4 linked regions of the Lonchura striata genome follow. The protein of the gene in region 1 binds, or shares a complex with, the protein of each later gene. Links are inferred from orthologs where the notes say so. Each region holds a gene or a part of one and is shown on either strand. Other genes may lie near its edges. The genes, in order: SNRPD3, PRPF6, CWC22 and GEMIN5.

Evidence for each region.
Region 2: SNRPD3 (region 1) and PRPF6 share a complex: the UniProt entries of both Homo sapiens proteins name them as parts of the U4/U6-U5 tri-snRNP complex. The link is inferred for Lonchura striata from reciprocal best matches to the Homo sapiens genes SNRPD3 and PRPF6.
Region 3: SNRPD3 (region 1) and CWC22 share a complex: the UniProt entries of both Homo sapiens proteins name them as parts of the minor spliceosome. The link is inferred for Lonchura striata from reciprocal best matches to the Homo sapiens genes SNRPD3 and CWC22.
Region 4: SNRPD3 (region 1) and GEMIN5 share a complex: the UniProt entries of both Homo sapiens proteins name them as parts of the SMN-Sm complex. The link is inferred for Lonchura striata from reciprocal best matches to the Homo sapiens genes SNRPD3 and GEMIN5.

The regions. Positions count from the first base shown.
Region 1 is NC_134620.1:3,928,213-3,935,652, reverse strand, and holds the start of SNRPD3 (small nuclear ribonucleoprotein Sm D3), read left to right. Parts: upstream 1-4,135; 5' UTR 4,136-4,243; intron 4,244-4,693; 5' UTR 4,694-4,717; coding exon 4,718-4,843; intron 4,844-5,460; coding exon 5,461-5,653; intron 5,654-6,484; coding exon 6,485-6,546; 3' UTR 6,547-7,440. Other genes in the region: protein GUCD1, read right to left, coding at 584-749, 2,209-2,293, 3,855-3,891. UniProt on the Homo sapiens protein: Plays a role in pre-mRNA splicing as a core component of the spliceosomal U1, U2, U4 and U5 small nuclear ribonucleoproteins (snRNPs), the building blocks of the spliceosome.
Region 2 is NC_134619.1:6,854,442-6,862,744, reverse strand, and holds the start of PRPF6 (pre-mRNA-processing factor 6), read left to right. Parts: upstream 1-5,220; 5' UTR 5,221-5,338; coding exon 5,339-5,409; intron 5,410-6,390; coding exon 6,391-6,559; intron 6,560-7,376; coding exon 7,377-7,495; intron 7,496-7,973; coding exon 7,974-8,052; intron 8,053-8,303. UniProt on the Homo sapiens protein: Involved in pre-mRNA splicing as component of the U4/U6-U5 tri-snRNP complex, one of the building blocks of the spliceosome.
Region 3 is NC_134610.1:23,609,652-23,617,374, reverse strand, and holds the start of CWC22 (pre-mRNA-splicing factor CWC22 homolog), read left to right. Parts: upstream 1-4,335; 5' UTR 4,336-4,405; intron 4,406-4,800; 5' UTR 4,801-4,885; coding exon 4,886-4,912; intron 4,913-7,544; coding exon 7,545-7,612; intron 7,613-7,723. UniProt on the Homo sapiens protein: Required for pre-mRNA splicing as component of the spliceosome. As a component of the minor spliceosome, involved in the splicing of U12-type introns in pre-mRNAs. Promotes exon-junction complex (EJC) assembly.
Region 4 is NC_134617.1:5,092,784-5,100,667, forward strand, and holds the start of GEMIN5 (gem-associated protein 5), read left to right. Parts: upstream 1-4,445; coding exon 4,446-4,623; intron 4,624-4,768; coding exon 4,769-4,923; intron 4,924-6,184; coding exon 6,185-6,366; intron 6,367-6,698; coding exon 6,699-6,850; intron 6,851-7,062; coding exon 7,063-7,194; intron 7,195-7,646; coding exon 7,647-7,779; intron 7,780-7,884. Other genes in the region: MRPL22 (large ribosomal subunit protein uL22m), read right to left, coding at 1-14, 852-929, 1,240-1,305, 2,429-2,564, 3,751-3,796, 4,304-4,331. UniProt on the Homo sapiens protein: The SMN complex catalyzes the assembly of small nuclear ribonucleoproteins (snRNPs), the building blocks of the spliceosome, and thereby plays an important role in the splicing of cellular pre-mRNAs.

The sequences.
Region 1 (7,440 bases):
GATTTCTGCTCTGAATTACAAATCAAATTTGCTCCTGGTCAGTTACTGTTGCAGTTTCTATCCAGTGGCTGTTCAGCTGCCTACATAAGAGAAGCCTGTTTGGCTTCCCAGGGGAAACTGGGCAGGAGCTTGCATTAAAGTCACTGCTGCTGCAGGCCCTCCTTGGCCCCTTGTTGGCAGTCCTGGAGAGGCCAAGCTCTCAGTGATGGGAGGCTGAGTTCCCCTCTCACCTCTAGAGGTGGATCTTCCAGGTCAAGGCTGAGGCACGGTGATGGGGAAAATGTGGAAGCTATACACTGCTGCTGCCCAGGCTGTACCTGTGCTGTAGATAAATACAGGGCTTCAGTCTCCAAGGCTGTCAAATAGGCTGGAACCTTTCATGAACACTACATGTAAACTTTTTAAAAATTCAAAAGATGGAATCAATACAGGATCGTATTGCCTTTGGAACAGATCTGTGCCAGTTTTGGCAGTAGGTCAAATTAACTGTGGTTGACTGTCAGTAACACACCAGAGCTTTTACAGCATGACACTCAAGGTTTTTAAAGCTGCCTGCTCTCCCCCTGTAGATGAGAATACTGACCTGATTTTTGTAGCCCTTGTCCACTCCGAGTGTCTGGGTGCAAAATTTATGCTTAACTCCGAAGTGCCGCATTAGGTAGGCCAGGTCAATAGTCCAGATACTCTTTGTTAACTGGAGTTCCTGGATGGCTTTCTGAAACTCATCATTGTCCAAATGATTCAGGTACCTATAGCGTCAAGAAAGGCAGGGGAAGAGAAGCACAGATCTTAGAAGAAGCAAAATGTGTGCTGTAGCCCAAGCCTCTACATCACAGCACATAAAAACTGAAACAACAGGCTTGGCTAAGAAGTAACAAACAAAAAAAAAAGCCCCAAAAACAAACCAACCCACAAAGGAGACAGAAATTTAAGGGAAGGGAATAGGGAATATTTAACCAGATTTATTGCTGACTTTTTAAAATTGGAAATGTGTGGTGCCTTGACTGTTTTAGAGTGCTAGAAGTGTACAGGTGCTGTACCAGAGTCAAGCTGGTATAGAACTCTGTCCTGAAGGGTTTACAGTGTAATGTATAAGTGTATTAGAGCCAACAGAGAAAGAAGAGTTAAAGACTAAAACTTCCTTCACACAATAGATGGATTTTAAAAGGAGGAGCCATAAAGGAACTCAGTAAATATTCAAAGTAAACTTGTCTTAGGCACTGATGACACAAAAGGAAGAAAGTGGGAGATGGAAGTCAGGAGGAAGCTTGGCACAGGTTGCAAAGGGGCAGGCAAGGTAGTTACAGGGAGTTCTGAAAGTAAGAAAACAAATAGAAGTAAATGATAAAAAATAAAAAGCAACTGGAACTGAGGATGCAGGGCAAACAAGGTCATATCAGCAGGGTAAGAAGATTAATCTTGGAAGCTGAGTTTTGGGCAGACTGGAGTGGCAAAGAGGTAAAGGGAATAGAGGTTACAGTAGTCAAGATGGGAAATTACCAGCACACGGACTAACGTCTTGGCAGAAGGGATGGAGAGAAATGAAAATCTTCTGCTTCATATCTACTAAGTGGACATCTAAATAGGTATTTCTCCTGCACCTAAGCTCATGTTCCTCTGTGGAAGGAAAGAGGAGTTCAGCAGGACAGCTACTAGTTCAAAAACTGGTAAAAACAAAAATAAACAAAAAACCCCCAGAGGGCAACACAATTTTGAAGCTGAAACTACTCCTGGAACACAAACACTCATCCCACAGGCTGGGGCTCAGCAGGACAGAGGTAGCACAGGTACAGCACACACTCATAAACTGAGATACACCTACCCATCACTTGAAAATACAAAAAGGAATCGGATGAGTCACAGCTAACTATGGGTTCTGAATTGTAACAACAGAAAAGAGGCAAGACTTTCTATGTGCTTGTGCATGCCAGCCTGCAAAGTTCATAGAGCTGATTAGGTATTCTGCATCTGTGTAATTAGTCAATTATTCAAAGGAGTCCAAAGTTCACTTCAGTTTATGTTTTCCCTTGCTCCTGCTGGAGAGCTGGGCCAGGCCCAAGCAGCTGTCATTGTCCAAGGGTACCTCAAAAACTGTTGCTCTCCTAAGACTGAACTCATGGCTGCTTCAAACACACCTCTTCTCCCTGGGATGTTTCCTGCTACCCCTCCCCATGGAATGGGATTTCCCACTGTAAGAGAGCCACTTACTGAAGCACCATCCTGGAGCAGGCCAGCCCACAGTCCCAGTGGTACAGCTGCTGAATCACTGGCACTTTCAGCTGGATGCAGTCAACTGTGTGAGCAGAACACAAACAATGTCAATCCATACAGGAATGTTTTTCCATGCCATGAAGTCAGCCTGTTCTCAGCACTACAATCATGGAAACTTAGGAATGTGGTTTTGTCTGACTGGCAGGTGGATTTTTTTCTTCCTTAGGGGAACATACAGTTAGTATTTCTGTACAGGTAAGCATTTGGTTTAATCTCATACTCCTTCATTGTTCCATACCTAGGTCACTGGCTTTCCACCCCCTTTTCCCTTGGAAGTTTCTTTTTTCTTTTTTGTGAGGTGATGTACCCACCACCCCTCAACTGAAGCGGTGTCTTCTCCTGGATAACAGCAGGTAAGACACAGGTCTTTTCTGTCTGATTGTACTTCTGTGCCACAAGAGGAGTTAAACCACACTGGGAGAAAACACACCAAGATCTCTGGGCAGGAATCTCTTAGAAGCCCCACAGATTTAAACCTTTTCTATAGATGTCTTTTTTCTCAGGGATGGTAATTTACAGAATTTAAACAAAACTCACAAGTGGTACCAGTTGTGTTAATTCCATCAAAACCTCAGTAGAGAGGGAAAATTAATAAACTCTGCCAAAAAGTCCCAAAACACAAGCTCCATCCTCTGCCTCAAGTTTTTTCTTTTTACGGAGCTGGCAATGTGGTGGTTTCAGTTTCACCACTAGCAGGACTTGAACAGTTGTATCTGTCATTGCTACTTCAGCATTGATCAAAACAAGTTAATCACAAAGAGCTTTCCTCAATAACCTTTGATCTAGAAAAGGCCTTCGAGAAGCTTGGTTAACAAGGTCCTCTAGATTTTATGATGGGAATAAAAATGCATTTGATATCACGTGGATTTGTTTAGTTTTGGGGTAATATTATTTATAGAACTTTTTAGATAACGTTGTTATATTTTTCCTAGTTGTGCCCCTGTTTAATCATGACTTTAAAGAACAGCATACCAATTGATATATTCAGTCTTTTAAATTCATCTAGCTTAAGGTGTTCTCAAGTATCGTAACAAAAAAAAAAAAAAAACAAAAAAAAAGAAAAGAAAACCAATTCCCATTTGTCTTCAAACCAGGACTTCTCAACTATTTTATCATAATTTCTTCTTAGTATGTTATGAATCTGTCCCCTTTTTGTAAACAGCCAGGGCCTCTACCAAGTCCCACATTAACCAAGGGCTACGTGTTTTCTACGTGAAAGCTTCAGAGAGCGATAACAAGTTTTCCTGGCCGTCCAGTTTCCAGTCACCTGTTTCCCAGCACACCTAGAGCTCTTTGGCGATGGCTCGCTGCCGTCCCGACACGGGAGACCGGCCCGTCTATGCCCTGCCTGCGAACCACCCTGCGAACCCCTCTGCGCTTGGCCGGCTCCCCGCCGCCACCACCTTACCGACGGAGCCGGTAACTGCGCACGGCTGCTGCGGGCAGCGCGGCTCGGCGGGGCCCGCACCCGCCGCCCGCCGGGCGCTGTCCCCGGCCCGTTCCGCGGGCGGACTCCGCCTCCCGCCGCCCCCTGCCCGCGGAGGCCCCGCCGGCCCGAGCGGGGCTGGGCGGCCCGCACTGACCTGGCGGCGGCTCGCCGGCCTCCCGGGGGCTCTTCATGGCGGTGGCGGCACCCGCCGCCCGTTCACTGCCGGCCCCGCCGAGCCGGCGGCGCGGCCCCGGGGCCCGGCGCTGGCTCCTCCCGGAGGCGGGGGCTGAGGGGGGCCGGGCCCCGGGGCGCTCGCCCCGCGCCGTGGCGGCGAGGAGGGCGGCGGGGCGTGCGGGCGGGCGGGGGCATGACACGGCGGGCGAGGGGCGCGCAGCCCTGCCGCGGAGCGGGGGCGCGGCGGGGCTGCCGGGCCGGCCCCGGGCGGCAGCGGACGGGCCGCGCCGCCCCCAGCGCCGCGTTCCGGTTCCGGCGCGCGGAGCAGGCCGGGAGGCGGCGGAGGCCATTAGCGGAGCGGCGCGGGCGGTGAGTGCGGCGCGGCGGCCTCGGCTCCCCGCGGGGCTCCGTGGCTCCCTGGGCTGGCTGTGGGGAGGCGCCCGAGCGGAGCAGCCCCGGAGGGGCCGGCCGGAGCGGGAGGGCTGGGGGGCCCCGTGCTTGGCGCCGCGCCCCCAGCGCGGCCGTACCGCTGTGGGGTCCGCCTGGGGCTCTTCCCTTGGAGGTACGAGTGGTTTGTGTTGTGGTCCCTAAAAGTGAATTTCCCAGAAGAGACCTGGAAAAGACTGGCTGGTGATGTTTAGAGTCTTGATGGGCACGTCTCTAGAGGAGTGTTACTGGTGCATAGTCAAAACGCATGTTGTGTTATAAATGTGAGAAAAATCGGTGCTTTACACTAATGGAAGGGATGATGGATTGTGTAATTGGACCTTATTCGACATCTTTCTTTGTAATAAAGCTTTTGATTTCCTTGTGCCTCAGGTGTAGAGCCACAGCACTGCAGCCATGTCGATTGGAGTGCCCATCAAGGTCCTGCACGAGGCCGAGGGCCACATCGTGACCTGTGAGACCAATACAGGAGAAGTTTATCGAGGCAAACTTATCGAAGCTGAGGACAACATGAATTGTCAGGTATCTTTTGTTTCACAAGGATGGAGGGAAGGTTGGCTTATCTGGGCCTCAGAAGGCTCAAAACTTGATCAAAAGACTGTTGCTTTTAGTTCTGGGATTAAAAAAAAACTGTACTGGTGCTGTTTTTTACCGTGTTGAAGTGGATTCATCATTACAGAATGCTTCAAAGAGGCCAGAGCTTATTTCCAATTTCAAAGTAGGATTGGGCATCCCAGTCAGTAGGATCAGAGATTTTAAGAGTCTGTCCTGTGAACAGTGTTTTTCCAGAATTCTTTGCTTAAAGCCACTGAGTGTAAGAATAAAAAAACCCCTTGATTTAAGAAACTAAAGCTTATTTAATGCACATTACTATAGTCGTTCCAAGAGGGCCTAACTTTGATTTCAGGCAAGTGATCATTGACATTAGAATGCTTTCCCAATTGTTAGTACTAGAATAGCTTTATTAAAACTATTTGCATATAAGAAAACAAAAATGATAGATACTGATAAAGCTAATTTGTAAACTGGTGAGAAAGCAAAAGTCCTGGGCAGCAGGCATGGGGTGTGTTTAAATGGTCGTGATGCCTTGTGTCACAGGTGAGGCCTGTCTGAGCATTGACTGATTTTTTACCTTGCAGATGTCCAACATAACAGTGACATACAGAGATGGACGGGTGGCACAGCTCGAGCAGGTGTACATCAGGGGCAGCAAGATACGGTTTCTCATCTTACCAGATATGTTGAAGAATGCTCCTATGCTAAAGAGCATGAAGAATAAAAACCAGGGCTCTGGAGCTGGGCGAGGGAAAGCAGCCATTCTCAAAGCTCAAGGTACGTACAGTTTGTTCATGATCCCTCCCCCTGTTTTTCTGTAGAACTGGAAGACTCATCTCTGTCTCTGAGGAGATTAAGCAGTAAGAAGTGAAAAGCTTGCTGGTTCATACAGTGTTTTTCTGTATATTTTATCTTACAGTGAGAGTCAAGACTCAAATTGTCCCAATTACCTGAATGTGATGTGATGAATATTGATGCTACAGTAATTTAGAGGTAGTGAGTGGCCTTATTAAACAGAGCCTTTCTGTTAAATTTAAGAGTTCTGTTTTCCTGCAGCTTTGGCCACCAGCTGTTTGAAATGCTTAGGGAAGGATTCAGGTGTTCTTGTTGAGCTGTTGTAGGAAAACAGCTTTAGTTACAAAGATGGTACTTGAGCTGCTGGGAAGCTGTAATTATTACCTTTTCTGTAGTTCACTCTCATTTGTGCCTTTCTCAGGGGATCAGTCTAGTTGTTAGGTAGTTGAGTAGCAGTCACAAAGTCCCTGGTTAGCATGCAGTAACGTTTATGTGGGGGAGTAACTTACTGCATGTTGCAAAACCTTGCAAGAGTGTGGGGTTTCAAATCTCTGGGGTGACACAGATTTGTGTGTCAGAAGGAACATGAGATGTCTGAATATCACCTGCAGTTGTCCTGAGGAGCCAGACTGTGGGACCATTAGGTTATGGTTCTTATCACAGAATGCTTTGTGCTCTTCACATCACTTTCTGAGCATTTCCTTGCTTCTGAGTAGGAGACCTTGAGTTCTGTTGATATTTTGCTTGTCAGTTGTTGAGATAAATGTGCAGGTATGTCAAATTCATGTCATCCCTGATGTTTTCTTTCTTCAGTGGCTGCAAGAGGAAGAGGCCGTGGTATGGGCCGTGGCAACATCTTCCAGAAGCGAAGATAATTTTGGTCTCGGCCGAATTGCTTTTTGTATTTGGGGTGTTAACTTGACTATGTGTGCACGTTAGTATCAGCTTTGTTTAATAAATGTTTCTGACAAAAACTTGTCTGCTCTTACCTGACAGGACAATTCTTGGACAAATACACTGTAGGTTGGTTTCAAACTCAAGCCAGCTTTGGAAAATAGTGGACTTTATTATATCTAGTTTTGACCACTTTATGTGATGCATTGATTTCTGAAGATCATTATGTTTCCTTTTTCTTGTTTAGTCCTGCTGTCATTTATTCTCTGAAGAATTAGAAGGCATTCTTAATGAAGAATTTTGGGTCATACATTATAAAGTCTTACTAGCAGCTGCATTTATGGAAAATACAGCAAAACAGAGGCTGCTTCCTGAGAAGCAGAGCACTGTGTCCTTTAGCTTTATATAGGCCTACAGTAGATAGAGGTTTATCTTCAAATCTCTATATTGTATTTGTATTCTTGCATTTTTTATCTTTCTCTTTGGATATAGGGAGAATTTTTCATTAGGAACACACAACTTTGATAGCCTGAATCTATATTTGCAGTGAAAAAATCTGTTCTGACTTTCTTAGTTTTTCCCTGTGTCTGGGAAAAGATGACAGAACATAAAACCGCCATTTCCCAGGATGAAATGCTTTGTCAATTTGAAAGGCAGTGCAGGTGTGTGAGGAAAGTTTTATAAATAGCTGTCCATTAAATTCAGTCCAAATGGTGATGTTTTGAACAAAACTCACTGTCAACTTCAGCTTTTGATCTTATCTATAGACAGTTGTGTATAGATTGGCTGATCTGCAGGAAGCCAAATGTAGTTGAAACTTCATGAAAGTGTAGCATGGTGTTTTTACTGACTTAAATGGTTGAATTGTTTCAATG
Region 2 (8,303 bases), on another chromosome or scaffold:
GAGAGCTGGTTGCTCACACAGCCAGGCTGCAAAATCAGAAGTTAGGGAATGTCAGAGTTCAAATGCTCGGACATCCTGGTGCTCCGTGTTTGCTCTCACCTTTGGTTGCGTCTCTCAGGATGCAGGGAGTGCTGGTCCCAGTGAGGATGGTGGGATGGATTAACTGGTGTCCCCCAAGGGTTGTCACCCCAGTGATGCAGAGATCAGATTGTTTTAATGTCATCCCTTACTGAAGAAGAGAGGTTTGGGGAACCGGAGAGGGCAAGGGACACTGGTTTTTAGGAAGGAGTCATGGATGGGAGTGCAGGACAGATGGAGAGAGTAGAAAGGATATGGAATAACAGAATTGGGAAGCAAATGGGAAACCTGGTGTTTTGGGGGATTTAGCAGGCCTTTACCTTCATCACCACTTCAACTTTACTTTTATCATCATCTTCACTTTCAGCTTACACCTTTGCCTTTGTCTTCACCTTCATCACCATCTTCACCTTCATTTTTGCCTTCACCTTCACCTTCACCTTCACTCCTTACCCTTCCCATGGTTGGAGCTTGCACCATCTTGGGTGGCAGGAACAAGTGAAAATCCCCCAAACCCAAGCCTGTTACTCTGGGTCAATGATGACCAGAGGCAGCAGCTTTGCTGTTGGCTCAGCTGTGGGAGATGAACCTGGAACAGTGGAGGGCAGGGCCAGGGATATGCTGCCCTTAGCACAGGGACTCTCCTCCCCCAGCTCACCCAGCAGCCCAAATCATTTGGCACCTTGGGAAATATTCATCCATCTGCCAGAGCTCTTGACTTTGGGCATTCCCAGATGAAAAGACAATTTTAAGGAATCCCATTTGGGCAGCATCATTAACATTCTGCTGGCAAGACACTGTGCCCTTGAGCTCTCTCCTACGTGGGGATTCTTCCCAGCAAACCTGCGGCTGACGCCAGCTCCACTCTCTGGATTGCTGAGAGTGTGAGCCTCGTGTTGAAGACCCTTTAGGAATCTCTGCTAATTGTCACTGAGACCTCCAATGGCTTGGAGGTGACACTCAAAGGCATTTCACTCCCTCCCAGCTGCTGTGGGATCTTGGCACCTGCTGCTGCTGCCTCTGGCAAAATTCCCACCACACACCAGAGCTCGGCTTGGGGTGCAGAGGGGGGCAGATGCTGCAGATGAGTCCTCAGAGTGCCTCTGTATAGTAGCATGGGACTAATTAAAACTTCAGAATGTATATTTACCTAATACGGAGTTGATTTGTTAAGTAGGACATCCTGTCTTCAGAGGATTTCACGGCATTGGGTGATAATCAAGTGAGAACAGGCTCCAAAAGTGTTAATTTAGGAACTGAGACAACAGGGATTAAAAATAAGCTCTGTTTTGTTCTTCTCTTGCACTTCCACATCTGAAATCCAAGTAATCATCCCATTTGGGACTGTAAAGCAATGGCACCACCACCCTGCAAGCATCACACTGGCTGAGGGTGCAAATGTGGGGCTTCAGTGGCCAAATTTGGGTTCTTTGCTCTCTGAGGGCTCAGCTGAGGGGCTCACACTGCTACAGGCATTCCTAGTGCCTCTGGGATGTCTGTCCCTGTGCCTGGCACTGGCACACAGGAAGGGGCTGGATTTCTGCTCAGGACTTGCAGGCAGGTGTTTTGCAACTGGGATTTTCGTAGAATCGTGGAACAATTTGGGTTGGAATGAACCTTTAAAGTCCATCCCATCTCATTCCAACCTTCTGGCTTTTGCAGGGACATCTTCCATTAAACCCGGGTGATCCAAACCCTGTCCAGCCTAACCTGGAAGACTTGCACGGATGGGGCATCCACAGCTTCCTGAACTAGTGTTTTACCACCCCTGCTGTAATAAAGTTTTCCTTATATTTAACCTAAATCTCCCCTCTTTTAGTTTAAAGCCGTTTCCCCTTCTCCTATTGCCAGAGGCAGGCAGCAGGAAACAGAACTTGGGAAGAGTCCCAGCGCTGATCCTGCCCTGCGGATGCATTCTTGCAGTGCTATGTGATATTTAAAAACACGAATTCCCAGCCTCGGGAGAGCCCCGGGGTTTGTTTTCCCGTTGTCCCGGGAGAAGCCGCCGCTGCCTCTGCTCTCCCCGGGGACACAGAGGCGGCTTTGTGTCACCGAGGGGCCGCAGCGCCCCGGCCCTGGGCTGGGCTGCTCCTTGCTGGGCTTTGGGCCGGACCCCGATCCCAGTCCCTGGCAGGATCTGCCTTGGTCAGCTCGTCCTTGCGCTCATCCAAGTGATTTTTTCTCACTTTCAAGCTTTCTGAATGATTCTGAACATTGATGTGCCCAGCATCCCCTCCCACCTCTTTTCCTCAGCCACACACACACAAACTGAGCTTGGAAAGTCCCAAAGCAGAAATGGGATGACTCTGTGCACCCAGGAGAGAGGAGTGACCTGCTGTGGGTGGTCTCACCCCTCTGGGGTTTTATTCCCTCCCCAAAAACACCACCGAGGGTGGTAAGCACTCTGCCAACATGCAGACACGACAGCAGCTCCCTGCAGGTTAAACTGCAGCATATTTGCAACTTTAACAGGGGCTGCTGCCCCTTCACCCCTGCAGATTTTGTTGCACCAGGGAGAAAACATCTTTTCTTCCTGCTTCACACCCTGCTTTAAGGTATTTCGTGAGCACAGAGCAATGCACAGGCCATTCCTTCCCACGTGGGGATGGACCACCTCCTGATCCTGATGATTCCAGGAGCAGCTGAGAGATTTCTCCCCACCTTGCTTCCCACCCTGCAACCCCCAGTTGCACTAATCAGAATAATTGCTGATTAATTACCCCATTGGGCTTTTGGCCATGTTCCTGCAGCAGCCCAGTGCCAGGCTTGGGTAGCAAAATGAAACACAAGGAAAAACCCATGGAGTGCCCAAAAGGTAGAGCTGGGCTGGAGAGGATGCCTGAGGGCTGGATCCTGAGCAGCTCATCCTGCTGTGCTCCAAGGGAAGGTCAGCCCAGAGCTGCCAGTGCCTCTGCTGCCCAGGCTTGGTGGGACACACAGCCAGTGCCCTCCCCTGCACTCACCAGGACATGCCAACCATCCCCAGAGATGATTAAAACTCATTTATGGTTGATTTTACTTAACCTAGAAATTATTCTGAGTTTTCTTGTTGTGTAAGAGTTACTGTGTAAAGAGAGAAGGTTTAGAGCCCAAGCACCAGCCCCATTCTGGGGTCACCCTGCTGCCATCCTTCACCTCAGCTCAGTTTTTCCAGGAGATTGTCCCAAAAGTGAAATTCCTGCAGCTTTCAGGGCCTCAGCAGAGACTGGACACTTCCCTGCTGTCCCCATCCATCCATGGGTCAGGGAGGCTCCCAATGGGCTCCTCTTAGTCCTTCATCCTCTAGCAGGATGGGGGAACCCAATTTACCTCCAAAACCCCCCAAATTTACCACACCCAGCCCACAGGGAAGACCCACTGGTGCTCCATGACGTTGGGTGTGCCAGAACATGGATGCAGCTCTGGGTATTCAGAGGGGTCCAAGATCACTGGACAGGCTGGGGAGTCAGGGGGTCCCACACCCCTCCCTGATGCTGAGGATGCTCCCATGGGCTCTGCCCTCACCCCAGGGTGAGCAGGAGAGCTGGGACACTGCAGCCTCCCTCCCTCTCTGCCACCCCAACTGTTTGGCAAAAGGCATTTTATTTTTCATTTATTTATTTATTTATTTTTCTCCAGCGAAAACCAAAAATAGATGGATGGGAAGTGGCTGGGGGTTGGGATGCCATTAGCATGCAAAATGGGGCTATTTATCTTCCCCGCAGCTGGGCTCTGCTCAGAGCTGGCAGGGAGCAGCAGCAGCAGGCAGGGCTGGGGCTGGGAGGGGGCTGCGGGACAGGGACAGTGCCAGGACAGCCCTGTCCCCTCCTCTGCCCTGTCACTGCCCTTGTCCTTGTGTTCTGTGACCCTGAGCCTCTCCCGAGGGACCTGCCAGCGCTCTGGCACGGCTGCACACGCTGGCAGGGTCACCTGGACACCTCACAGCTGGCAGCTGGCTCATCCTGAGATGTCTGCCCAGGGCTCCGGTTGGGGAAACTGAGGCAGGAGCTCCTGGGACACGCTCGGGAAGGAGGGATGAGCACAGGGCAGGGGCTGCACTTGTACCCCTCACCCCTGGGGTCCCTTGGCAGGGCCATCCCTGCTGTCACCACACAATAAAGTTGGAAGTGAGAGGCCCCTCAGAAGGAATGAGAAGAAATCCAGCTTTTGCTCCCAGAGATAATTTGGCTCGGAATTAGCAGGAGGAAAAGGGGGGAGGCAAAGCTCACACCTCGGGAAACAAGGGTGAGCAGATGGAGGCTTTGTCCTGCTCCAGCCCTCCTGGGATGATCCTGGCCCTTTTTCCCCCTTTTCTGCCCCATTCTGCCCGGGGGTTGTTAAACACAGCTTTGCTTCTCACAGGGCCGCACGCCACCTGGGATGTTCCTTAGTAGCTTCCTAATGACAATAAAAATAACGAATTGCTATAAATGTGAAACTCCATGACAGCAGAGCTCAACGTCCCTGTGAAAAATGCATGTTTTATGATTGGCTTTTCACAAGTATTACAATTAATATTATATGTGTAATGTTAGAAAGTTATGCTGTATAAATTCTCTTAAGTAGTGTGTTAAATATAGTTTTAGGTTCCAACATAATGTAAAAATAGAGACTACCTAAGTGGGGGGACTTTTTTTTTGGGGATGAGATGCTTGCTTCGAGGAACACCTAAATCTTCCAGAGAAAAGGAATTTATGGTTTTCTGATCAGAAGAAGCTAATTTCTTCAGGCCTTGCTCAGACTCGAAGACGCCTTGGGGATTAAAGGAAACAGTTGACATACAACGGACAGAGGTCTTGTTTTAAATAGAATGTATGCATAACCATGAAGGATATATGAATATACAACAAGTGTATTGGTTTAAGGGGGATTCCTTTGTTCACAAGGTATGCTTCTCATGACTGAGTGTCCCAGAGCAGCCGGACGTCCGTAATTCTTTGCTTTTTATTGTCTTGTAATTGTCCTAACTCTAAACCTTATTCCTCTAATTGTATTGCTATTTTTACAACCATTTTATTATTATTAAACTGTTAAAAAAATGTTAAAAACCAGGCGGTTGGCGGTTTTTCACAACCCCCACGCCCTTCGTCCCCGCCACCCTCATCGCCCTCAGCGCGCCTCAGCCCTCCGCGCCGCCAGGGGGCGCTGCTCCGGCGGGAGCGGAAGTGCCGCTCCGGCCTCGCGGCGCCACTTCCGCCGCCGCTTTCCCGGCCGCCTCTCCCGGCTCTGCTCCGCTCCCGCCCCGCTCTCGCCTCGCTGTCGCTTCGCCGCCACCGCCGTCATGAACAAGAAGAAGAAGCCGTTCCTGGGCATGCCCGCGCCCCTGGGCTACGTGCCGGGGCTGGGCCGCGGGTGAGACGCCGCCAGGCCTGGCCTGGCCCCCCCCGCCCCGCCGGTCCCTTCACAGCCCGGTCGCTCCGCCGGGCCTCGGGGCTCTCCCGAGCCCTTTCGCGGCCCGGCTGGGTCACACCTCCGTGCGCCGCTCGTCCCCGTCCCCTCGGGGTGGCCCGCGCGGCTTTTCAGTGTTGTCCCTTCCTGATGGCTCCCGTTCACTCTCTGGCTGGGCGGGGTTGTGTTAAAAAGCCAGCCTGGCTCCCAGGATGAGTTCCCGGGTGCTTCAGACCGGCAAAGGATTGTGTCCCTCCTGATTCTGTGACTGTGTGCGGGTGGGAGCGTCTGAAAAACGATCAAACCTGGGGGCTTTTATTGATGGAACAATGAGGGAGTTTGGTGGTGGCTGAGATAATTTTTAGGGTGTTGTTTGCTGGGTGTGAGTTGTGTTCATCCCCCCTGATTTCCTATTGCCTTCCCTGGGGAGATCCTGCTGGCTGTGCCCCTCGGGGTGCTGCCGGGCCAGTGTGGGGGTTCAGCTCCAGCTGCCTTTGCCCTGATCCCCAGCCTGTGGTGCCCCACAGCCTGCAGGGTCAGCTGAGAGATCCAGAGACAGAATTCAGAAAGGGGCTGTGCATGGGATGGGTGGCAGTGCTGTGAGCTGGGTGGTTGCAGTGTATTTGTGGGAAAAGTTCTCCCTATAAAAGGGTGCCTAGAGAAGCTGTGGCTGCCCCACCCCTGGAAGTGTCCGAGGTTGGATGGGGCTTGGAGCAATTAGTGGAAGGTGCTCCTGCCCATGGCAGGAGGTTGGAACGGGGTGAGCTCCTTCCAACCCAAACCATTCCATGATTCCAAGGCTGTTTTCCCTCTGGCTTTACGAAAGCTGGTCACGAGGAGCGCCTGATGCCGTTCTCCCAAAGGAATGATGTTTTCCCTGCCTGCCCTGAGCAGTGGCTGTGGCAGGCTGGGGTAGCAGTGAGCTGAGCAGGTTTATCCCTGCAGAGCCACGGGCTTCACCACGCGCTCTGACATCGGCCCTGCCCGCGATGCCAACGACCCCGTGGACGACCGGCACGCCCCGCCGGGCAAGAGAACCGTGGGCGACCAGATGAAGAAGAACCAGACCGCAGATGATGATGATGAGGATTTGAATGACACCAACTACGACGAGGTGAGGAGGTTTTCATCATCCTGCAGCTGTTTTTCCCCAGGTGGAAGAAGAGTCCTTGAGCTCTTCTGCTCTTGCTATGAGCCCTGCTCCTAGCTGAGGCTTCAAACCCAGAGTTTCCCGTAGTTTGCAGGCAGCATTTCCTTTTTTATTTATTGATTGAGACCTCAGTATGCACAGTGGCATGGTGCTTACAGATTCTTGTTGTGGCCTTGCTCCATGGATTGTGGTTTAATTGCTGATGCAGAGCCCTGAGAGTTTTTGGAAAATATCTATAAATAAAAATTAGTTTAAGTATTTCAGGTTTTTTTTTTTTATTCTTCACAAATGAAAGCTGATGTGCTTTGACAAGATTGGACTTGATGATCTTGGAGGTCTTTTCCAACCTAAATGACTCCGATTCTGTGCCATATATTGTCATTAAGTGGCCTGTATAGTCTCTTAAGTCCCACTTTGGTTGGTTGAATGTTGTGATACTATTTCTGCTTGCTTTCACTGGTGTAGAAAGTGGTTAAAGGAAGAGAATGGCTCTTCTATCCTGGGATCTCATTTATTGCTGAATAGAAGTGGTTTAGAGAAAGAAGCAATTTTGTAGCAGTTTTGCTTCAAATGGTGTGGGAGAATAAACACCACCATGGGATGGTGTTTATTTATCCTTCTGGAGGATGCTTTTATTTAGGGATGTGTTAATCTGATGCAATGTTGTCAGAAGCAGCCTGTGAATGCATTTTCAGGTGATTGTTGTTGCAGAAACATAACAGGAACTTAAAAAACCTGCCTTTTTTTCCTCTTTTTTTTCCCCTCTCTCTCCAATTTCCAGTTCAATGGCTATGCTGGGAGCCTGTTCTCAAGTGGCCCCTATGAAAAAGATGATGAAGAAGCAGATGCTATTTATGCAGCTTTGGACAAGAGGATGGATGAACGCAGGAAAGAAAGGAGGTAGGATAAGCTACAGCACTAGCAGGGGGTGTTTCCTGGTTAATTGAGGATGACAGGTATTTTGCACCACTTGCTTTGATAGTGGATGCCATTAAATTACTTCACTGTAGTTAATTAAGAGTCCCTGTAGTTCATTAAGATGGTGTGGGGAGATGCATCACAGACTGCACAGTAGATTGGAAATTGTTAGAGGAGTCACCTCATGCTTGTAAACAGTATGTGTTACTTGTTAAATTCACCTCTCATTAAGAGGAGGTCAGAGACTGAAGTTCACTTGGAGATGTCTGTTTTTACACTATAATACTGTCTTATTTGATAAAGGATCTCTTGTTGTAATGTTGATAATCTAAGATTGGAAAAAAATGCCCTTTTTTATGCCCTAACTCTTATCAAACACATTCTTCTGTTATGTGAACACTTTAATCAAAGTCTTGCCAAGTGCTGCTTTGAGCATGACCTCAGTATTCCTTTTCCTAAGGGAACAACGAGAAAAAGAGGAAATAGAAAAGTACCGTATGGAACGGCCCAAAATTCAACAGCAGTTCTCAGACTTGAAAGTAAGGAAAAAAATTAAATGTGACTTTTATGAGAAACAAGAGGTGGCTGTGTGTTCTTTTATGTGTGTTTGTTTTTTTGCTCAGATTTTGTGTATTGGCAAATGAGTACTTTGATATTCTCCAGATTAGAATTACTTTCTGTTGGAAGAGTAAACACTGGTCATGGGGATACACAAGGCAGTGAAATCTCTGCAGATTTTGATATTGGTAATTTTTGTTTTGTGCTTTGTGGAAGGTGCTACACTTCTGTC
Region 3 (7,723 bases), on another chromosome or scaffold:
GAGAAGCAGCTATACTAACTTGTCCTTTATTTGAAGGCATGAGTGGCTGCTTCTGCTCAATGACATCAGTGTAAAAATGCAGGAGGAAAATGACAGAAGGGACAGGACGCTGCATTTTTTTTTCCTTTTACCTACTGTATCATGCATTATTGTGACACAATCACCAGGTTAGTTCAGGAAGGAAAAGTGCATTCATTAGCCTGTCCTCTGGTTTCTAGGCACAAACACACCTTCTAGCACTCAGCATCATGACCCCACCATGGGTTCTACTGTCCTAGCTCTGCAGAACAGCAGAGATATTTTTTTCCTTAAAGGTCAGGAGATATAAAAATACTTCACAGAGGATAAAAAAAATCAGCACAAAGGAGTAAAAACAAAATTGAAAGGGGTTTAGTTACTAAAAAAGGATTTTAGTTGCTAAATAATCTAAAGCTGCCAAATGATGACATAGCTCAATTCATGGTGTAGCCCTGAAATTTTAGGCAGATATTCAGGGTGCCGGCTGTAGAATGATGCCTTGGTTTGATGAAGTCTTGAAACTGTGGAAAAGAACCAACATTCTTCTGCAGTGTGTAAGGACAAAGTGAAACTAAGGACATGAAAACACCAGTTCACAGCCCAGAGTGACCTGTGTCTGCAGCACTATGTCTGGCTCCACTCCATACCACTTTGTAGGAAAGGCTTCAAACAAACAAACATTAATTATATTAACAAGCAAAAACTCATTGCAAAAAATGTACCTTTATTTTTTTTTTTTTTTTTTTTGCCAATCTGCATTCACTATGCTTTCCTTTTCTGAATAATTGCTTCCCCTGTATATTAATTTAAGGTTAGACTGGACAAGAATTGTTTTCAGTCCCAGAAGCTGGTTGGAGAAGAGCATTGCCACAAAACTGAAAGAAGGCAGATTATAGGATACAGACCAGGAAGTGCTTTAAACAGTAGCTGAGTGGATTTTTTTATTACTGTGAGAAGCAGCTGAAAGACTGTCATTAAAAATAATAGCAAACATATGTGATGTGTTCTCACACAGAGGAAACTGTGTGGAAGTTCCACATATGATCATCCTGCCACTGAGCTCAGAGGGATAGCTTCACTTTGATGAGGTTTCAAAACACATTGCAGGAGTCTGCTGGTGTTTTCTTGGGAAAAACAAATTTTGTGATGGAATGTGATGAGTGTCACACATTTGAGGTATCAAAAAGAGATATTTCTTAGTATTGTAAACCCATGATCTTCCAGCAGTTATTAAACTGTAATGGTGAGGGGACTGCAGAGCACGGATATTGGATCCCTCTGAAACAATGGTGTTTATGTGATGTAAGAGCTTTCTTCTTTCTCTCTTATATGTTGTTTCTTAACACTCTGCATTGGAAATAACTCCTGCCACACAAAAAGTAGCAGTAGAGTAGGGATTGCATGTCCCTGATCCACTCTGCTACTGAACAAGTTCAGCTGTGTTGTTTCCAGCCTCCTTTGCTGACTCACCTCACTTATGTGACCTTAAACTGAAACCACAGAGGATGAGATTTCTCATCTCAGCTGATGTGTGGAATAATATCCTGCAGCTGGCACATTGCAGCAGCTATCTGGAAACAATTTTTGAGCCTTGCACAAGATTATAATTCTACAGCATGCTAAAGGTCACACTGATTAACTTGGATGGGAATTAGCTGTGTATAAATTCCTTACTCCTAATAAAGCAGGCAGGAAACCAATGTCCAATCCATCATTTTGAAATTAATTAATAAAGCAATACTAACTGCAAAGACTCAGTTACCAGAATAAGCTATTGGAGCAGCTATCACTGTTTTTCCAGAAGCATTAGGTACTTGTATGAATTGGGTGTTATTGTATTTCAAAGCCTGATCATCATGCTTACTTAAGGTGAAGAATTCTTTGTTGATTATTGCTGTTCTAAATACACATAAAGCCACTCAACATGAGTTAATTCTTGTGTGGTTTTGTCTTTGGATTTTTTTTCCAGACTCCAAAATCATGCTCCATTCGAACTGTAATGTACTTCAGACTGAGATAGAGATGAGAGAACCTCACCATCTCTTACACCCACAGAGTAGCTGCACAGCTGCAGGGTGATCAGGATTGCTTCAGTTGGATTACTTCACCTGAGTGCCTTCCAGGCAAGTAAGGAGTCCCACATGCTGAGAAAGAAGTTGTGGAAGACACACCAAGCAAGAGAATGTACCTGCATCCCTCTTACTCTCTAGAAGCTGGAACCCACAGTCACGTCTCTACTTCAGACTCTGTACATTTAGGATCTTGAGTGCAGCAGATTCCAAAAGGCTGATCAGGGGTACTCAACCTGCACTGCATTCTACCCCCTTAAAGCACTTGGGAAGTGCAAGCTTTGTCTTTTCACTCTCACAGAACTAAAACTTGCATCTCTTAAAGCATTTTGCCAAACCACAGGACTAGACCCACTGTAAAATTTAAGAATTCTCTCTTTAACCTGGTGAGGAATAAAATCTAACTGTGACCTATGGCAGAAAAAGGACTGTAAGATGAGCAGGGCAGGGAAGAAATGAGCAGAAGGGAGCTTCACTGCATAATCCAATAGTAAAAGCATTAACTTATGAAAGGAGAAAAGGGAAACCTCACTTCACTGCTGCTATTCAGCACTTAATGCCCTTTCTCTTGTTCAGTGAATCCCATTGCCCCAGCCCCTTGTCTGCTTTCCACATCCAAGAAGAGAACTGAAGAATTGAAGTCACCCCAGTTATTCAGCCCATCTTAAATCACAAACATGTTTTTCAGAGGTTATCAGTAGTCTCCTGGTGGAGGCACCTCAAAAAAGACCTTTACATTTCCCATCTCTGTCCTCAGGCTCCTTCTGAGGCAGAGCTCAGCTGTCTATGCTCTCTCTTTCTCAGGGCATTTGGAGGGGCAGGCTGAGGGATGGTACGTGTGGCACCAGCCACAGGATGTCCCCCTCAGGAGATGCTGCTGCCACACTGGCACCATATGCCTTTTCATTTCGTGACACCTGTTTACACAGCGTGAGGCAGGAAAAAGATTACTTGCACAACAGAATGGGAAATCATGGAGTGGGTTCAGGGAATAGCGTGTGAAAGCATTTAACAATTCACATTGTGAGAATGTGTAGAACTGTCCAAATAAATGCTGTTTCCAGTCTCCTGTGTAAGAGCCACATTTGCAAATCATTAAGCCAAATAAAGCAAATCCTGTAGCTAAAAGTTATAAGCAGAAAAAAAAATTCACTTTTTCTGATTGTTGTTTCTTAACATTTCCATGTTGGCAAGGTGTGTTTTGCTGCCTTGACTATTCTGCTTAGTATTACAACATAAATGAGAAAGTTGACTTTTATGAATGTGTAACTTAAAATAACTATTCTCTCCTGAGCACAGAATATTTGTCTCTGTGACAATATACAATGTTACAATGGCATTGATGGCCTTTGGAAAAGTTGGAGAATAGGTTTGCTCCCATTTTGTGAATGCTTCAAATTCTGGGGAACGTGAACTGGTAGATTAGTTTAAACCAAAGTGGTTCTGAGTTAAAGTGCTACATAGCACAATCTCAGTCATGGCCTGATGCTCCTTTTCTCTTACTCTTCTGAGATCTTCTGAGTGACAGAAGAGCGAGATAATTTAAATCTTGGGGATTAAGTCTTCAATTGCTGCACCACATTGACCAGATCTGTCCAATCATGCATATCCTCTCCTTACTATGCTGTGATTTTTTGGTTTTTTTTGGACAGTGAGCATTTGAGTCTGTACTAACTGTTACAATGAAAATAGCGCTACAGGCGTATTACATGATGTGACAAAACATTAAGAAGTCTAATGCTCTGTATAGAATAGATAAGTTGACTTAACAACCTCCAAAAAGAAAGAAATGTAGCATTTTCCAGCTCTGAGAAAGCTCCATGTTCATCGCCTGGAGAAGCAGCGGGTCCCACAGGTGCGGCGGCGCCCTGGCCCGGAGGAGCTCATTGCATTTCACAGCATGGAAACGAACCACAAGCACTTCAAGACCTTATGTAGCACTGTCCTTTGTTTTCATCCCGTTTCTATGCATTTAATTACTCTCCCAAATCCAAACACATTTGTGCCTACAATAAGCCAGAGGCTCTCTGTTAGCCTGGATCCGTGGCGCCGAATCACTTCAAACTTTCAGAGGCCAAACAGACCCTGCAGCATACAGGTGTTCCAACACGGCAGCGCTCGGCACTGCAGTGCGTGCAGGGCTTTTCCCCCAGGATGCCCAGCCCAGCAGTTTTTGTCTGGCACGCAGGGCGAGCGCGCTCCTTTCCGACTGAGGCGGCCCCGCCCTCCGGCCGCCATGTTGGGGTGGGGCCGGCCGCGCGCTCCTCGCGCTGCCGGAAGTGACGTGTGCGGGCCGCGCGCGGCGGCGGCGGCGGGAGGTGCGGGCCGGGCCGGGTTCAGGAACGGGGCCGGGTTCAGGAACGGGGCCGGGGCTGGGCGGGCCGTCCCTTCCCGCCATCCCCGTGGGGTCCGGGGGAGCTCCGGGTCGGGGTTCGCGGCCTCCCCCGCCGCGAGCGGACGGGCCCGGGCCGGGAGCCGGGCTCGGGGTCGGTGGGCCGGGCCCCGGCAGCCCCGGCCGCGGCCTGTCCGCTCGCTCGCTCGGGGCCGGCTGCGGCGGTGCAGCCGCTGTGTGGCCGCAGCGTATCGGAATAGACCCGGGGGAGCCTTTGGGTTTAAGGACTTGTGTAAGCATAGCCTTAAAGGACAAAATAAAGGTGCGTGTTCCGGCACCTTGTGCAGTCGAAAGCTTTTGATTTTCTTCCGTGTGTTACAGGTGAAATGGTTTTCATATGCTGAACTCCAGCTTGGATTGCCTCGTTGCTGCACGTTGAGAACTTCGTAAAAAGCAGGAAGTCAAGATGAAGAGCAGGGTGACACAAGTAAATGTAAGTGTTCTTAAAACTAAATTGTGAGATTTGATACTTCCCATGTCACTGGTAATTAGGTTTGTAGTTGATATTATGTTAAATAAAACTTCCTGAGTGCAAAGCAAGTAATATCTGTAACAGACAGAAGTTGTTTGCAAGATAAATACTACTAGGAGTCAGTAAATTACTGACTAGTAATATACTAGCTGCTGTTGTCCATGCAATTAAAGTCCTGAATATTATTAGTGTAAAATGTTACAATAATTGGTCAAAACTGACTGAATGCTGATGGCTCAACAGTAAGTGTAAGCATGTAGAGGAGTGGAGAAGGATTTTGAGAAATTTAACAACAATCTTAAAAGATATTGAAACAATAAGTTGCAGTTAATTTGACAACTGTATGTCATACTATGCACGTTAAAACTTTTCCTTTTAATAGCTATGTGTCCCACTTCTGAGTGGATGGGGTTGATTTTTTTGGGAATGCAAGAAGAAAAAGTTTAGAAATGCTGTTTGCAATGGATGCCAGTTTTGAGACATGTTAACAGAGCAATATTGTTGTGATGCCCTGACTCAGATCTGTGGTATTACTCTCCCTGTTTGCCCAGAGTTGGAACCTGCATAGGCTTCTTCACTCTTTTAGACCATCTTTTCTGACTTGAGTGACTTCTAGTAGGGATGCTTGAGGGGTAGTTTAATACCTTCTCCTGTTCTCCCCACCTGGTAGCGCTCCCTCATCTGTCAAAACAAGCCAGTTAGCAAAAGCACACTGTTTGGACAGTTTCACTTAATCACTTTGATGAAAATGGATAAAGAAGAGGGCTAACTTGTGGCAGAAAACCTGGTCACAAAGAGCTGAGGGTGACAATTTCTTCAGCAAGCATAGCTTCTTTTGCAAGGAGATGTGATAAATGGCAAATACAGAAACAGCCATAACATTGTTTTATTTCTGTGAACATTTGTCTCTTTGGTTCTGCTTGGGCAGAGACACATGATAAAGAATCCATTGGAATGGATCAGCCTTAAAAAGACCCACTGCCTTCTTCCCATCTGCTAGATAGGATTTAAATACAGTAACTATTTTGTGGTATTCAAAGATTTTTATTACCGCTTTCTTGGAAGCTTAGGATTCAGACTGGCATATATTACTATGTTGGGAAAAGGAAACAAGGACGCTTGTTACCCTTGAATGAATTCAGTGATCTGCTGTGTGCTGTAATGACCATTCAAAGGGGTAGAAAACCTTGGTGAATGTGTGAATTTTTTGTACTGTGTCCACTGTTGAAGGTAATGTGGCTCTAAAATGACACAGGTGGACATAACTTCTATAGGGATGCATGCTGCCAGTGGACAGTGCAAAGCCCTTGTTTTGTGTCATGGCCTTTATGCAGGCAACAGAACTCTGGGTGTAATTTTAACAATTTGAATTGCCCCCTTGGAAGGGCAATATTCCAGGATATGTTATAGTGGCCTCAAAAAAACAATTTTTTTTTTTGCATATATACACACCCTCCCAGTTAAGTTTTTGGAGATAGCAGTTGCTCTGCTTTTTATGGAAGAGGTGTCATGTTCTGGTCACCCAGAGTTTTAATTGGTTCTTTGGTGGGGAGGAGGCTGCTTCAACGAACAAGCTGAGTGTTCCTACAGGGAGTTCCATCAAGGTGCATAAGGAAATGCTTTTGTTGAGTTACTGCATCATGTGAGGTGTTCCCTGTTTCACAGATAATGACTCTGTGACATTGTGAGATTGTGGTTCTGAAAAATCATAAATAATATTTTAAAGAAAGAGGTGACCCTTCCAATGAAAGTACTCAGGTTACAAATGCTGCTGTTTACAAATGTTTAGAAACATGTTAATGAATATCTTTCTGTTTGCTGTAGATGCTGTCACTTTCTGATTTTTGTACTGATTTTCTACTCCATACTTCATGTCATGGTTCAGCCCATGGAATTTGTTGTGAGCTGTTTAAGTGTGTATCACTTACACAATTCTGCAAATCTGCCAAGTAGATCAGTGCAGCTCAGATGTTTGTAATGTATGAAACTAAGAATGACTCTTGAGGAAATAAATTGTGATTAGTAAAAAGGGGGAATGTAAGGAAAAATTACTCAATAAAGGGAATTTTTAGGAGAGAGGAAAGACAGTCTTTAAACAAGAAATGGTGGAATTCTGTTCATGGTATTGCGTGTAATACAACAAATGAAAATGGCATCTGAAAAAACGAAGCAGGAAAGGCAGACCAGTGGTCCATCTACTCTAGTCTCCAGCAGTAGTTAACAGCAGATGCCTTAGAGAGTTTAGGAATAGGGATATATAAAAGTACTTGCCGGCATACTCTCACACTCTACCTGTTTGCAGCTTCCTCAGCCAGATAAAGTCTTTTAGTAACCCTTGTGGATTTTTCTTTGGTGTTTATTCCATGCCTTGAACCTGTGGAAGCATTTGGCATGTGCAGCATCCTGTAGCAGGGTGTCTAGCTGCTTAACTGCTTGTTCCTAGAGAAGCAGGAACCTCTCCTGACTGCCGTCAGCTTTATTGATGGCCCTTCTTGTAAAAGAGTGGGAACTGAGGCATGGTATGCTTTGATCTAAGGAGAAGTGCTCACAGTCATGTTGTGGCTTGATTTTTTTTCTTTCTCTTTCCTTAAAGCATGGTTCCAGTCATGACAGGAAGGAAAACTACAGTTCCCGACATGAAAGTTCGTCTCCAGAGGACAGGTAGAATGACTGATTTTTGTATCCTTCAATTCTGTATATATACCTCACATAGTGAGTTAGAGAAGTTAAAAAAATTATCAGGTTATGTTTCTTTTTATATATTACCATAAC
Region 4 (7,884 bases), on another chromosome or scaffold:
GCTTCTAACAGAACCTGTAAAAAAAGTTAAAGAAATGGAAATACTGAGGAGGAATTTAAAGAATGCTATTTCTTATCTCTAGATAACATGAAAGAAATTGCAAGTTTAAGTCAGTTACAGAAAAAGTATTTTATAAAGATAAAAACTGTTAAAAGACAAGCATCTTTTACATAAGGAAGCTTCCTGCATAGAATGAAAAAGCTTCAGGATGATTTTATTACATTTTTGGAGAGGAAAGGGAGTGGAAAAGATGTTTTCCACCAGCATTTGTCAGCCTTCTCTCCAGAGACCTTTGTGTAATTAGACATTTGACTAGACATAAATTCCAAAATGAACTTGGTCTATTCAATATTTTCAGCTAATACAGGACATTTCTTTGCCATAATTATACCAGAAATCAATGGTTCAGCCAAGAAAATGAGTAATTTGAGAATTCAAACTACCACAGTGTATTCAAAGCTTTTGTGCCTTTACAGAATTTAGTCGTCTCCTTAATAACGTCCTCCATCTCTTACAGTTTAAGAACCAAAGCACACAGATGTAGCAGCCATTAGTGACCAGGATTCTGCACCTTTTACCAGGAACTTAACACCAAGCACTGCTAGAGAGGACACCCACATGGAATTCATCACCATGACAAGTTAGAATAGCCAGCACAGGTGACCCCAACATATTCATAAGTCACAGCATCACCTGACTGCAACAAAACTGTGTTGTTAGAATGTGCTCCCAACAGGCTTCCTTGAAACACAAAAAGCCACAGAAGTAGAAGCACCTCCAAACTTATGGTAACAGATATTGATTTTCAAGTTTTCTGGAAACCAGGAGTGGTAAAGAATACTATTATTTACCTCTTTGATCACCTTTGCTCCCTTTTTGTCGCTGAATTCCAGCTGAGCAAGAGCCTGATCAATGGACATTCCTTTTATCTGCAATCAAAGTGGTAAAATTAACTTCTGCATTTACAAGTATTTCCTTTCTCTGATTCAGAAGACAATGCTTAAATTATACTGCCATTACAAAAACAAAAATACTGTCATTTCCTTAATTACCATTTCTTCAGTGTAATACCTGCTAAAGCAAAGTACAAACAGCCATTCCCTGTCCAGATCCATGCTCATCCCCAGGACTCTGCTATAAAGATGCTGATTAAACTGTGATTGAATGAGGCTCTTAAGACAAATACAGCAATTAAATTTTGCATTCTCTCAAGTAGAGCACAAAGTACTCTTTGCTTACCAGTTTTGCCAGATACCACATCTTATCTTTGCTGTATTTTATTTCCCTCCGACAGTGATATATTTCCTAGGGGCAAAAGGAAGTTAAAGGATGAGTAATTTTGCTGTGGAAACAGGAATGGAGCATCCATGTCTGCTCCACAATCTATTTTCTTACTAGGAATAAAATAAGAATGGCTCTGCCTACTATGAGAACAGCACATCAGGCATAGCTTTGATATTTGAAACTAATTGCACTAAAAAAAGGTATGGACACACAGGAAATTTTAATTTAATCTTATAACAGTTTATAAGCAGAAGTCCCTGAAAATGATAATCAAAAGGTTTATCACCATCTTTTCCTCTCATTCTCCCCACTTTAGAAGCAAAGCCTTCATTCAGCCTTAAAAATATTACCCTGCTGTCAACTCAACTTACTGGGAGAGCAAATTAACAATATTACCAGAATGAACTTAATTAGCTCTCGAGAAGTGAAGAGGGTTTCAAGTTTGATTAGCACAAAGAGCTGCCTCCACAGACCCATTTAACATTACTGCTAGCAGGGACCAGCACCAGCTGGTAGAATCCAACATCAATGCAAATGTGAAAGAGATGGAACTCTTGATAATCGGGTAAAACACTGATTTAATAAACAAGTCTGTCAATAGCTGCATTTTCACACACACTGCATCACTCCACAGCAGGGATTTCTATGTCCTAGGCCACAATGTTCACAAAAGCAATCAATAAATGCTCATGGCTCACAAAATACATGCCTAAAAAACCTCATTTCTTTTCAGATATAAATACTTTTACTTTGCTGAGCAGTGTGTCTAACGGAAGACACAACACATCCATTCCTAATGAAGAAAAATGCTAACAGTGGAATTCCAGAATATCAGCTCTTGACAGTACAATTTAGACCTCCTTGTAGTTCAGAAACTTCTACAGACAGAGGATGGGCCCCTCACAGCTTGAACCACACACTGAGAAGGTGATCAGCTCCCAGGAACTCAAGGCTCCAATGCAATTTAGAGATGGAGAGCATTCCAAGTGGTATCAACTTGTACAACACAGCCAAACTGATAAAATAAAATCCCAAATAATGAGCAAACAAGCTTTCAAACTAGTGCCATGTTCAGTCACCCTGTGCAGACAGTGACAATCTGCTCAACATTCTCAGGTGAGGGCATTCACAGGTGCATCCTTACAGCTGGTCTGCGAGGCTCTCCAGGCAGCTGGGGAGGGTAAACAATCCTGTTCTTCTTCTCCCACTTCCCAATTTTCTGCAGAGATGTGCTGGTGTGGATGCATGACAGAGGAAAGAGACTTCCCGATGCCAGCCACCTGCAAGGCAAGACCACAGTCTCAGCTGCTGAACACAAGGGTTCTTTGTCCCTGCCCAGTTTATCTGGAAAACTGTGAACTTGCTGTCTTGAAAAAGAGAACCAGCACATTTGTATACTCAAAAAATCAAACTATTAAATCCTTTATAGTTTATGCTGGAAAGGCTTTTTAATTCAGCAAGAAGACTCAAGCTTCTTAAAGGAAACCATGAATGTTGGTGTGAGATTCCACATGAAGTGTCCTCAGACTGTCACACAAAGTCACAGCCACCTCTGTTCTGATGCTCTTGTGGGGTTCAGAACTCTCACAAACCATTTTTACCTTTCCCAAGGTACTTTCCATACTTATTTAACTTTTACCAACAACATATTTAGCAGTGAAAATTTCTAGCTTTTCACAGGGCTCTGTATCTCAGAGCATTAGAGGTTTATAAACATTGTGACATTTGAGAAGAGAGGTGTTCTAAACTACTTCCGAAGCACAATTACGTCAATCCAAAAACCAGGGAGCTGATAGCAATAAATCAATTTTCAGGCAGTTTGCTCAGCTCAGATTCTGAAAAACCGAGCTACATTTTGCCCCCTGCTGCCTGGACAAAGCAGCAGTGGGCAGCCACTGGTGACTACAAGAAACAGAAGAGTTCCAGACTAAACACTGTGAGTTTTACTGAGCCTTGAATGTCTTGGTGTGTGTGGCCGTGTGCAAAGCATCTTAAAAACAACAGGCAAACAGAGTATGCCAAAAGGGCAGTGTACAGCATTGTTCACAATAATATGTGAGCAGAAATTAGCACAACACACATATTTCAATGTCATGGAATATTTCTTCAGGTATTTGCAGGGATGCAGCTGGCAATTCCAGTGCTCCTACAGCACAACTATGGGGTTCCTCCAGAATGAGGGGAAACTTCAGCAAGTGAGGAAAGCAGTGACTGGGAACAGCACAGATATCACATTACTGTGACCTGAACTATGGAGTCAGAGAAAATAGGGATGTCCAACAGAAAGAAGCGAGGAGAGAGACGCCTCCATCGTGGCACAAGCTCTGAATACACAGAAACATGGCACAGGGACAGAGTTCCTACAGCTCCAGGGCTGGGTGGGATGGCCAAGCCAGGGGACCCCAGAGCCCAGCCCCAAGCAGGGCAATGCCAGTCCCACTGCCAGGGTGACAGAGCCAGACTCACCTCTCTGGCCGTGCCCAGCTGAGGAGACCTCGTGCCCAGGCAGCACCTGAAGGGAAGGGAAAGTGAAGGAGGCATGAACAGAATGGTAAAACCACAGTATGGTTTGGGCTGGAAGAGACCTTGAAGACCACCCAGTTGCACCCCGTGCCATGGCAGGGACAGCTCTCCCATCCAGCCTGGCCCTGGGCACTTGGAGAGTTCCAGGGGCAGCCCCAGCTGCTCTGGGAAACCCGTGCCAGGGCCTCAGCACCCTCACAGGGAACAATTTGTTCATAATATCTAACCTAAACCTACTCGCTGCCAGTTTGAAGCCATCCCCCTCATCCCGTCACCCCAGGCGCTGTAAATATCCCACTCCATCACTCCTGCACGCTCCCTTCACACACTGTAAGGCTGCAACTTGGTCACCCCCAAGCCTCTCTTCTCCAAGCTGAACAACCCCAATTCTCCCAGCCTTTCCTCACACGAAAGCTGCTCCATCCCTCCGCTCAACCCGGCGGCCTCGTCTGCAGCGAGACCGTCCCGGAGCGGCGCCGCGTCCCCTCCGCCTCACCCGCGCCCAGCGCCCAGCGCGCCGCCATCTCCCCGGCCTCGCTTGGCGGCAGGGGCGCGGCTTGCGACACTTTGCGGCGGCGTGCGCGGCGCTTGGCGGCAGCGCCCGGAGCACGAGGGGCGGCCGGAGGGGAGCGGGGCCCATGGCGGCGGGGACGGGGACGGGGACGGGGATGGGAGTGCGGGCGCTCCCCGCCTCCCCCAACTGGTACAGCAGCCGCTGCAGCGATGCCAGCAGTGACGGCCGCCTCTTCGGCTTCGCGGCGAGGCACCGCGTCTGCCTGCTGGATGTGGCCGCCGCCGCCGCGCCCGCGTTCCACGGTACCGTCACAGCCTCCCCGGGCCCCGCGCCCGCAGGGGCTGCGGGGCCTCCCCGCCAGCGGGAACCGGGGTGGGCGGGCGGGATGCGGGAGTGTGGGCAGGCCCCGGGTGCCCCGTGACGATTGCTCCTCGCCCTCGCTGCCAGGGGAGCTCATCGGGCACACGGACAGGATCTCCGGCTTCGCCTTCTGCCACTGCCCCGGGCAGAGCAGCCTCTGCGCCAGCAGCTCGGATGACGGCAGCGTCAAGGTCTGGGACAGCGGGACCCTGTCGCCGGTGCTGGAGTACAGCCTGCACCAGGTGGGGACACGGGACACGGGCACGGGGACAGAGGACACGGGCACGGGGATACAGGACACGGGACACAAGACATGGGGACACGGGCACGGGGACAGAGGACACGGGACACAGGACACGGGCACGGGGATACAGGACACGGGACACAGGACACGGGCACGGGGATACAGGACACGGGCACGGGGACAGAGGACACGGGACACAGGACACGGGCACGGGGATACAGGACACGGGACACAAGACATGGGGACACGGGCACGGGGACAGAGGACACGGGACACAGGACACGGGACACAGGGCTCGCACTCGGAGCACGGCGAGGCTGCTTTGCCCAGAAGGGAGCTTCACGCAGGTGTGATGGAACCTGTTTGGCGCTCCTGGCCGCCTCTTTGTTCGTAGCCTGCGGCGCTGCTCATCCCCGTCGTTCGCTGCTGCTTGCCAGCACAGCTCGTGCTTTGGGCTCACTGCCTTTTAACCCTGTGGGGATTCTGAAAATTCCCACAAATTGTACTGGTTTTGGACAAGTTGCAAAAGTCAGGCCTCAGAGGCAGCAGAGCTGCGATTTTAGCTAAGCAGTAGACATAAGATTTGTCAGCAGAAAAATTATACAAGAAGTAGAAAGTAGGGACAAATAGAACAATGGTAAGTGTATTAACACTTGACTAGAATAACTCCCTAAGTTATAGAAAAGTATATTTAACGGGATATTAGGAAGTTCTAAGCTTAATAATGGAGCTCTGTGCATTGTATCTTAAGGCTTACAAGTAGGTATTGTATTCGAAATAAGCAAGCATTGTTTTAACCAATGGTATGTGTGCTTATAGTGGTTGTATAGAACTACTGTCAGTATGCTTTTGCTCTGTGTGAGTGGTCAAAAGGCTTTTAAATTAAGTTGTAATATTGAGTTCTTGGTCTGCTGCCTGGGATGTGAGCTGCTGGCATCTTCCCATTGTCATATCCATGTAATGAAGCTGATGCTGGAAAATAAACAGCTCGAGGTGCATTTGTTAGCAGTCCCAGCTCACCTAAAGTGATCTCAGTAAATTGCTGCGGCCACAGGACAGACTAAATGTGTATTTAAAGAGCTCCTGCAGCTCAGGGGTGCCCATCAGCAGCTACATCCATCTCTAAAACCTGGAAGAACAGAGGCACTCAGGGACACAGCACAGTGCTGCTGGGCACTACTCACAGATGACGTCCTGCCTGTTTCTCTGTGTTCGGTGAAGTAAAACACCTTTAAACCTTCCCAATGCTCTTTCTTCAGAATGCCATCTCAGCACTTCACTGGTCCCCTCTTGTGAAAGATCTGATTGTGTCTGGTGATGAGAAAGGTGTCATTGTTTGTTACTGGTACAACAGAAGTGACAGCCAGCAGTTCTTCCCAGAGCCCAGGACAGTTTTCTGCCTCACCTGTTCTCCTCATCATGAAAACCTGGTGGCCATTGGGTAAATGCTCATTACTTAATGTTTTTTTTTCCCTTATGTCTTGTTTTCTACTCTTCTGCAAGAATTTAATTGTGAGGTTTTGCTACGTGGCTGAAAGGTAAATTTTAAGAGGTCTTGGTGGATGTTCTTTTAGTTTTGGAGTAAAACAAATTAGAAATAACTTTTAGATTAAAAAACCTGCAAAGGCAAAGAAATCTGTGAAAATGTAATGGTCCAGCCTGGCTTCTCTGTAATAGGGTGATAGTGACCCTGGAAAGAGCCTGAAAATCACCTTGGATATTATTCCACAAGCATCCAAGAATCTCTTTATTAATTTACATCTCTGCTTTCAGCTACAAGGATGGCATGGTGGTGATAATTGATATCAGCAGGAAGAGAGAAGTTGTGCACCGGCTGAGGGGCCATGAGGATGAAATCCATTGTCTGGCCTGGTGCCCTGTGCCTGGGGAAGAGAGGTTACCTGCTTGGCAGAATGAGCTTCAGGGTATGTGAACATGATTAACAACTTGTGGAGTATTTTTTAGTTCATGTAAGTGTCCTTCTAGAGGACTGAATTTTTTACAGAATGTTAGTAATTAGCTAAGCAACTGATAAGTTCAATAAAATATGTTCTGATATAAATCAATGTAATTTTCAGCTCATTTTTATGACACTTTGATTTTTAAAGCATAATGACATGACTTCAATGCTATTCAGCAGTTCCTTCAGAAGAAGGCAAGGTTCCAAATGGGGAGCTGACACAGGACACAGCCACGAGGAAAGGTTGTTACCTGGCCTCTGGAAGCAAGGATCAAACCATACGAATATGGAGCTCTACCAGAGGCAGGAGTAAGTAAGAGATAAACACTAACAAGATGTGGAATAGCTCCTGAACTACAAATTGCCTTTGGCCAGATTCTAAGCATGGAAGACTGTGGTCCAGAATACCAATATTTTATGAGGTTAATGCATTATCATGGAAATTATTTGATAACCACTGGTAAGATAGATAATAAGGATATCAGCTGTCACAGGTAGGATTGGGAGCACCATCTGGCTGCCTCCCATATTCCCATGATAAGATCTTGCTTTTCTTTTCCTTGCTTTATAATGTTGTTGAACTCAAGACAGTTTAGGCTGAAATTTTCCATGTCAAGTGTCTGCCTAAAGCTGATTATTTTGGAAAACTCACTTCAACCTTTGTTTGTGCTGAAAGCATGGGGAATGCAATTAAAGCTGCATGCTCCCAGGACTCCTCTGTCTGTTTGAGAATTTGGATGTGGTGCCTCCTGGTCCTGCAGGTGTGATGACTCTGAAGCTGCCACCCACCAAGAGGAGAGGTGGAGCCGTGGACCCGGCGGTCAAGGAGCGCATCTGGCTCACTGTCCACTGGCCTGTTGGCCACCCCTCAGACATCGTGTCCAGTGGCTTTGGGTAAGTGGGGCAGCCAGCAGCAGCTGCAGACTCAGTTGTTCCTACTGAAGGAAGAGCTGAGTACTAAAGACATCCCCTTCTTCCTTCCTTTCCAGCGTTAGAGGA